2 linked regions of the Caenorhabditis elegans genome follow. The protein of the gene in region 1 purifies or fractionates together with the protein of each later gene. This does not show direct contact. Each region holds a gene or a part of one and is shown in the gene's direction. Other genes may lie near its edges. The genes, in order: ZK402.5 and ruvb-2.

Evidence for each region.
Region 2: the proteins of ZK402.5 (region 1) and ruvb-2 fractionate together in Caenorhabditis elegans (co-fractionation; one large-scale study listed by BioGRID). This does not show direct contact.

What each region holds. Positions count from the first base shown.
Region 1 is NC_003284.9:1,399,162-1,403,089, reverse strand, and holds the start of ZK402.5 (SPK domain-containing protein), read left to right. Parts: upstream 1-1,730; 5' UTR 1,731-1,847; intron 1,848-2,459; 5' UTR 2,460-2,551; coding exon 2,552-2,559; intron 2,560-2,606; coding exon 2,607-2,888; intron 2,889-2,932; coding exon 2,933-3,046; intron 3,047-3,094; coding exon 3,095-3,358; intron 3,359-3,409; coding exon 3,410-3,926; intron 3,927-3,928.
Region 2 is NC_003282.8:6,917,561-6,921,488, reverse strand, and holds the start of ruvb-2 (RuvB-like 2), read left to right. Parts: upstream 1-2,082; 5' UTR 2,083-2,090; coding exon 2,091-2,132; intron 2,133-2,225; coding exon 2,226-2,363; intron 2,364-2,416; coding exon 2,417-2,545; intron 2,546-2,596; coding exon 2,597-2,873; intron 2,874-2,919; coding exon 2,920-3,310; intron 3,311-3,361; coding exon 3,362-3,514; intron 3,515-3,928. Other genes in the region: T22D1.18 (Transposase), read left to right, coding at 1,326-1,532. UniProt on the Caenorhabditis elegans protein: Possesses single-stranded DNA-stimulated ATPase and ATP-dependent DNA helicase (5' to 3') activity suggesting a role in nuclear processes such as recombination and transcription.

The sequences.
Region 1 (3,928 bases):
TGTTTGAAGAATTATTCAGTTTTTTGTCGAAACTTTTTTTATTTTCAAAGATTTTCACAAATGATAAAAGATTCCATTTTCCATCCAAATTGTTTATTAAACAAATAAAACGAAAACAAAGCTTTTATTCAGAAAAAAATGGAAATTGTAATTTATAACTTGAATGGCGAGGAGACCAGACACGGTGGCACTTGAATGGTGACTTGAATGGCAAGGAGACCAGAAGCATTTATTCTGTCCTGTAAACGGTAGGGTAAGGTAAAAAAAGACTAAGAAAAAAAACTCACCATACTCTAATGAGTCCTTCAATCTCATCCAGGGCCTCGAGATTGAGAATTATTTTGCGTAATTCTCTGTTCTCCTGACGAAGAAAACGATATAGATTTGAAAAAAATCGGTGCATGAACGCGGTTTGAGTGGCAGGTGCGAAATTTAGCTCCCTGGCTGGGGGTGGGAAATTTAGCTCCACATACTACTGAAAGTCGTCCGAAACTTCTCCAGCAAGCCCAAGCATCACTCGGACACGGCTTTCAATACTGTAATTGTCCAGTTGATCCATGTTTGGCGCAAGCTTTTTATGGAATCTAAATCTAAATTTATTAAAGAGAACCAGGTATAATATTCTCACTTTCGATAATAGGCTCCATCCGAACATCTGGCATTTTCTTTTTTACCGAACTCCATGAAAACTTTTGTTGCCACCAGTGGCTCATTGGCTTCTTTCGTCTTTTCAACAAGAAACGTCATCAATCTTACGTCATCGGCGGAGAGCATGATCTTCGTTGACCTCTTTCGTGCTGCCTTAGAAGATTTACTGTGGATTCTTTCCAACGTGAGTTTTCCGTCGCGTGACTTATAATTGCAGATTCGCATTTTCTTGTCAATCTTAACAGTGCCAGTCGATTTGATCCTGCAACAAACTAAATTCATAAATCTGAAGGTAACATCTCTCCTCACAATGTCATGAACTTGTCCGACACTTTTGCCGACAAGGCAAACGTCACTTGAATGCGTGACACGACACTGTATTCGTTTTTTTCGTTTTATGTTCCGACCCCTACAATACTTTAATACGAATCCTTAAGCATCGTAATTTATTTTCGTTTTTTTTTTTTTGGTTTTTCAAAAATTTCAATTTTTGTTTTTTGGTCCAAACTTTTTTTGGTCCCAGTCCTGTGGCCAACTCTACCTCGGGACAACATAATAGGGGCAACGTTTTTCAATCTCTAAAATAATTTTTGTATAGTTTTATTTGCGCGCATTTGAAAAATCTCATGGGTACGCAAATGAAAAACGCGATTTCAAGATCAAATATATAATCAGGGATTTTTTTAATTTGTTCACATAGATGTTCGGAATCAGGGGAAAATTTGGAGTTATTTAAAAATATTTCCTAGATTTCGGTACCCCACCTTTAATACCTACAGTTGTGACGTAATTTTTCAACACTTTTTAATTTTCCGACACTATTTGAATAACCCCATTCAAAGTTGTATTATTCAAGTCACATGTATTCCGAGAACTTCCTAAATTACAATATATTCGAAATATTATTCATATTGGTAAATATTGATGGATGGATTCCTTTAGTCGACAACATATTGTCACCCCACCATAAAACCCTCAAACATGTTGTCACCGTCTAGATAGGTACGTAGAAAAGAATGACTCACTGTGTTCATATAACCTTGGCGTTAGCAGCTGCACAGCAACATTCTACATTTCCAATCATTCTTTGTTTTACTTGGGTTACTGGTGGTGACCCTCTTCTATTCTTCTAGTTTTCTATATGAACCTTTTCTAATGTTATTCCTATTTTTACTTTAGTAATATTAATTGGTAGAAAAGTAAGTTTTTTTTTGAATTTGTTTCAACAGGTAAGTGGGAATTTTATTTCAAAATATGCAATTTGTTGCTAAATTTTGAGAAATTTATTAAATTGGAAAACTGATAACACTCTTGGTTATCACTTTATTTGAATTTTCGGGCTTTTCTTCTCAAATTTTTTTAATTTTTAAAAGTAGGTGTTTGTCATTGGTGAAAATTATTTAAAACCGCTGAGATAGTGCTATACTCTTTAAATTCTATTATGAAACATTAAAATTTTTCAAATATTGCTTATTAACTTTGATATAAGGTGGATTGATTATTTTAAGTTTAAAATACTGTGTAGGAATACTCAAAGAGTTTAAGAAAAGCATTCAAAAATGCTGTGGAGTAGCGCCAGTGGGAAAAGTGCTAAAACTATTAGAAAACTATTAATATGATGCCAAAATGACCAAATATCACAACAAAACTTTTTAAAATTTTTTTGAAATTTTTTATTTACTGTCAAAAAATGACGATTGACAACTCATTTTTTGCCACTCATAATTCTGGAAGTCGACCAAAAATTTTTTTAAAACTTAAACTTTTTATATTGTAATTTTGTTTCAATTATTCGTATTAAAGTATTGTAGGGGTCGGAACATAAAACGAAAAAAACGAATACAGTGTCGTGTCACGCATTCAAGTGACGTTTGCCTTGTCGGCAAAAGTGTCGGACAAGTTCATGACATTGTGAGGAGAGATGTTACCTTCAGATTTATGAATTTAGTTTGTTGCAGGATCAAATCGACTGGCACTGTTAAGATTGACAAGAAAATGCGAATCTGCAATTATAAGTCACGCGACGGAAAACTCACGTTGGAAAGAATCCACAGTAAATCTTCTAAGGCAGCACGAAAGAGGTCAACGAAGATCATGCTCTCCGCCGATGACGTAAGATTGATGACGTTTCTTGTTGAAAAGACGAAAGAAGCCAATGAGCCACTGGTGGCAACAAAAGTTTTCATGGAGTTCGGTAAAAAAGAAAATGCCAGATGTTCGGATGGAGCCTATTATCGAAAGTGAGAATATTATACCTGGTTCTCTTTAATAAATTTAGATTTAGATTCCATAAAAAGCTTGCGCCAAACATGGATCAACTGGACAATTACAGTATTGAAAGCCGTCTCCGAGTGATGCTTGGGCTTGTTGGAGAAGTTTCGGACGACTTTCTGACACAGTAAAAAATTTTAAAAAGGTTTTTGAGTTAACGAATAGTGATTTACAGAGTTCAAACGGAGGGAATTGTCGTGCTCAATGATGGCAAACGAATTTGCGAGTATGCATCACGTGATGGAAAGCTGAAGTTGGAGGCGGACCACAGTCATTCGGCAAGAATGAAAAGAACATCTGCATATCACCGAAAGGCTGGTCGACACGTGCACATGGTCATGAATGCAAGTCAGACGACGAACCAAGCCGAGAGCGACGAAGATGGCGTAGATTCGGCGACTTCTCTTCCTAGATCTCCGAAAAGAGCGAGAACTGAAATGTATATCCTGTCAATTTCATATTACGCAGTATTTTATTTGATTATTTTCAGGAGCTCGAGTGACGACGACGATGATCTGGAGATTATTGAAACTGTGGACGGATATCCGAAGCCTGAGCCAGTTGATTTCGATTTTGAAGAACTCCTCAATAGAGATTCAACCTATAATTTGCTCATCGATCATTCGCAAGAATATAAAGAAGTGATGATGGAAGAGAACAATCAGCCAACTATTTATGTGAAATCTCTTCAATTGGACAGTGACGACGATGAGGTGCAATACATCGGAGCGATGAAGGGACAGCCGAAGCCTGAACCAATCTTCGAAGGATTTGCACCACATAATTCGAATAGCGATCATGTGCAAGAAGAACAAAAAACTGGTGTTCCACGCTTCGATCGTCAACAAATCAGTCTTTCCGCGAATACTGGAGCCACTTCAGATGAACCCATTAATATGTCTGAATTCCTGAAACAACTGACCCAGTTCATTTGCTTTCTCAAAAGTAGGGAACTCGAGGAGCTCAAGCAACAAATCAAAAAGTCAATTGGAACTAATGTTGATAAGGT
Region 2 (3,928 bases), on another chromosome or scaffold:
ACAATTAACATAAAAATTACCAAAATTAACCTTTATAAGTGCTGAAACATTTTAGAAATACCACAGAGTACCTTCAGCATCTGGAAAATTCTGAGGGCTCCAAAATTTAAAAACAAGTTACATCCAAATAATTATATATTTAATTTGCAGTTTTCATGATTTTTTATTCAAAATTTAAACGCATACATGTCTTGTAAGTTAAAATTAGTAATCTTAACAGTATAAAGGAAACTTTAAATGTATAATAGTACTCATAGATAATATACAGTATCGCAACTTTAAAAGATATCCATTTTTCTGAAACCACGTTATTCTGATCTTTCACACATTTCTTCAAAACTTTGTGAACAGTTTGACTGAATTAATTAAACATAATGGCTTGAATGCCATCTCCGTCTGTTTCAACAGATATGAATCTATTCTTTCACAAATCCACTGCGTCATTCAGGACTTCATTTATCTTCCTATTGATTCTTCAATTCACTCCGATTAAGTTTTACTATTTGATGAAAGTTCAACTTCATCGTCATTTGAATTATGTGCTCTCTTTATTTCTGGTATTATTGTTTCTGATTTATGTATTCTCAAGAACAGACTTACATTTAAACAGTGTCTAATGTTGTTTTGTGTGAATTGCAATGAGAGTTTATAATTTTTGTGACTAATTTTCATTTTGACCTTTGAAGAAATAAACGATTTTTTTGTTGTTGGGTTATTTTTATGTGTATAGTAAAATTGAAATGATTTGCTTCTTAATATTTTTGATACCGTATATTCTCTATTAGTTCGGCACCCCCAATTGCTCAACTTTGACAGCTTATATCTCGGATTTAAGCCAAAAATTTCAACTAAGAACATCTTTGTTAAATCTTTTTCTTTTTCTATGTTTTTCATTTTTCGATATCTTCAAAAGCGTGCGAGTTACATATACGCTATTAAAATAGAGCGGTTGAGGTGCCGCACTAATAGAGAATATGTGGGATATAGAGCTCTTTTCGAATGTACAGCGTATCTGTTAAATTTCTGTGATAGTTTTTGAAAATTAGTTTCTGAAAATGAAAACTTATAAGTAGGTTACGATAGAATCATGGAATCGACTGCTACAGCACTTTCCGAAAGTTTGAATTCAGGATATGCAGGATTTCTACCAAAACGTTCCACCGCCTCGGATTTAATTCTCTAAAATCGTATTTCCTAGCCAGAAAAAAGACTTGCCACGTGTAAGCGAGAAGACAAGGCAAAGGCTTGATAGCAATCTTCGCTTCTAAGCATATGCTTTGAAAACCCCGCATACAGCCTCATCGTCGCCCTCATTTCTCTTCCAAATGGCTAACATTGTACCTATTCATAAATCTTTAGAGTATTCACTGGTTGATGTACCACTTCTTTGTAAGAATGATGATCCGAATGATGAGATTGTGATCTATAGCAAATATTCGAATTCAAGAAGATTTATTGATTGGGCTCTTGTTATCACTGTGGCAATTACAGCATGCTATTCCTTATTCACATTGAGCAAATTTTATCTTTGAATTATTGGGAAAAAAGGTTTTGATTGATTTCTTTTGGCATTTTAATTAATTTCTTCAGAAATGATCCCGGCAATCGAACTTGAACATTCTGGTAAAAAAAGAGCATCTAAGTATTCAATTGCGCTTTTTTTCTATATTTATCTTTTTTATAATTGGTTTTATACATAAGATTTTATAAGTTCTGATTTTTTTAATTGATAAAATAAATACATTTATTTATGCTCGATTGATCAAATTTGAAAACATTTTACAAGGCTCATAAAGATTAAATTAATTTTCTTTAATATCCAGTCACTTTCAAAAACTTGACCGACCAAAATAACTTTAAATGCTTAATTTATAAATTTTTTTAAAATTAATTTATCCAACTCCAGATCACGTTGCTATATAATTAGAGAGTGAGACGCAGAAAGTGCGAGTTGACGCACTTCTCGTGCCCCTTGATTGACGCTTTTTCTGTGGTTGGCGCGTTTCGTGCGCGCGATTTTCGAATTTTAGGTTCACTTTTTCCGAATTTCAGCAAATTTTCAGCTTTATATTTCAATTTCAGACATCAAAATGGCGACATTGGACGGAATTAATGTGAAAGATATTGTAAAGGTATTTTGTTGCTCATATATTCAATTTTTGTGTTCAATTTAGCATATTTTCTAATAAAATCTAGGTTCAATTGCATTACAGTATATTTTCCAGGTTGAACGCACCTCCGTACATTCACATATTACTGGTCTAGGTCTTAATGATCGTTTAGAAGCTGAATATGTGTCTGGAGGAATGGTCGGCCAGGTTGCCGCTAGACAAGCTGCAGGACTTATTGTCAAAATGATTCAGGTAATGTTTTCTGCACAAAAATTCAAAACTAAAATTGCTACTATATTTTTTAGGAGGGAAAAATTGCCGGACGTGCTCTTCTTGTGACAGGAGAGCCTGGAGCTGGAAAGACTGCTATCGCCATCGCAATTTCCAAAGAACTTGGTGAGGACACCCCATTTGTCAGTATTGTCGCTTCAGAGGTTAGTCTAATGTTTTTTTTCAGATTAATAAATATCTTTTTTAAATTTCAGATTTATTCAAACGAAATCAACAAAACAGAGGCACTTACTCAAGCTTTTCGACGTGCTCTGGGAATTCAGATTAAAGAAGAAACTGAAGTTTTGGAAGGAGAAGTGATCTCGTTGGAAGTTGATCGGTCAGCAAATGGAATGGGACCAAAGGTCGGAAAACTCACAATGCGTACAACTGATATGGAAACTATCTACGATCTTGGATCAAAAATGGTTGATGCGTGTCTGAAAGAGAAAGTGATGCCCGGTGATGTTATTCAAGTTGATAAGGCTTCTGGTGAGAATTTTATTTAATCAAAAAACTGAAAAATTATCGTTTTTAGGACGTGTTACTCGACTTGGCCGTTCATTCAACCGTTCCCACGACTATGACGCAATGGGTCCAAAAGTGAAGCTTGTTCAGTGTCCAGATGGAGAAATTCAAAAGAGACGTGAAACTGTTCACACAGTTTGTCTTCACGACATTGACGTCATCAATTCTCGTACCCAAGGATACGTGGCACTCTTCTCAGGAGACACTGGAGAGATCAAAGCAGAAGTGAGAGATCAGATTAATAAGAAGGTTTTGGAGTGGAGAGAAGAGGGAAAAGCAAAGTTTGTACCAGGAGTATTGTTTATTGATGAAGCTCATATGCTTGATATCGAATGCTTTTCGTTCCTCAACAGAGCCATCGAAGGCGAACTCAGTCCCTTGATTATCATGGCCACCAACAGGTTTGCAAATATATTTTTTTTAATATTGAGTTTTTAATTAAATATCTTTAGATTGATCGAAAAAGTGCGTGGAACAGATGTCGAATCTGCTCATGGCATCCCATCTGATTTCCTTGATCGTATGCTCATCATCAACGCGATCCCATATACTAAAGAAGATACAGCAAAGATTTTGTCAATTCGATGTGATGAAGAAGGAGTCAAGTGAGATATATCTTTTAAAAACGCTCCACCGGCAATTGGAAACGCTCTGTCCCCGATCCATGGGTCTTGTTAGGAAAATGGCGACAAAACCGTGAATTCAAACGTTTTTCGATCAGCTTCGCAGATTTCGCCAAAATTTAGGCATTTTTCCGATGTTTTAGTGGTTTTTTGAGCTGAATGAGGTTTTTTTTATTTGACTGAATTTTATTTTATCAGTCTGCATAAAAATCACTAAGAAAAACTGGAAACTTGAAAAAAATGACGAAAAATGCTTTAAAAAATTGGTGAAATCCGAGAAACTTATCAAAAACGTTTCAATTTCCGGTTTTGCCGTCAAATACCTAACGAGACCAATGTTTCGGGGATGGAGCATTTTTATTTGGCCGTGGAGCGCGATTCCACGTTTATTTTGAA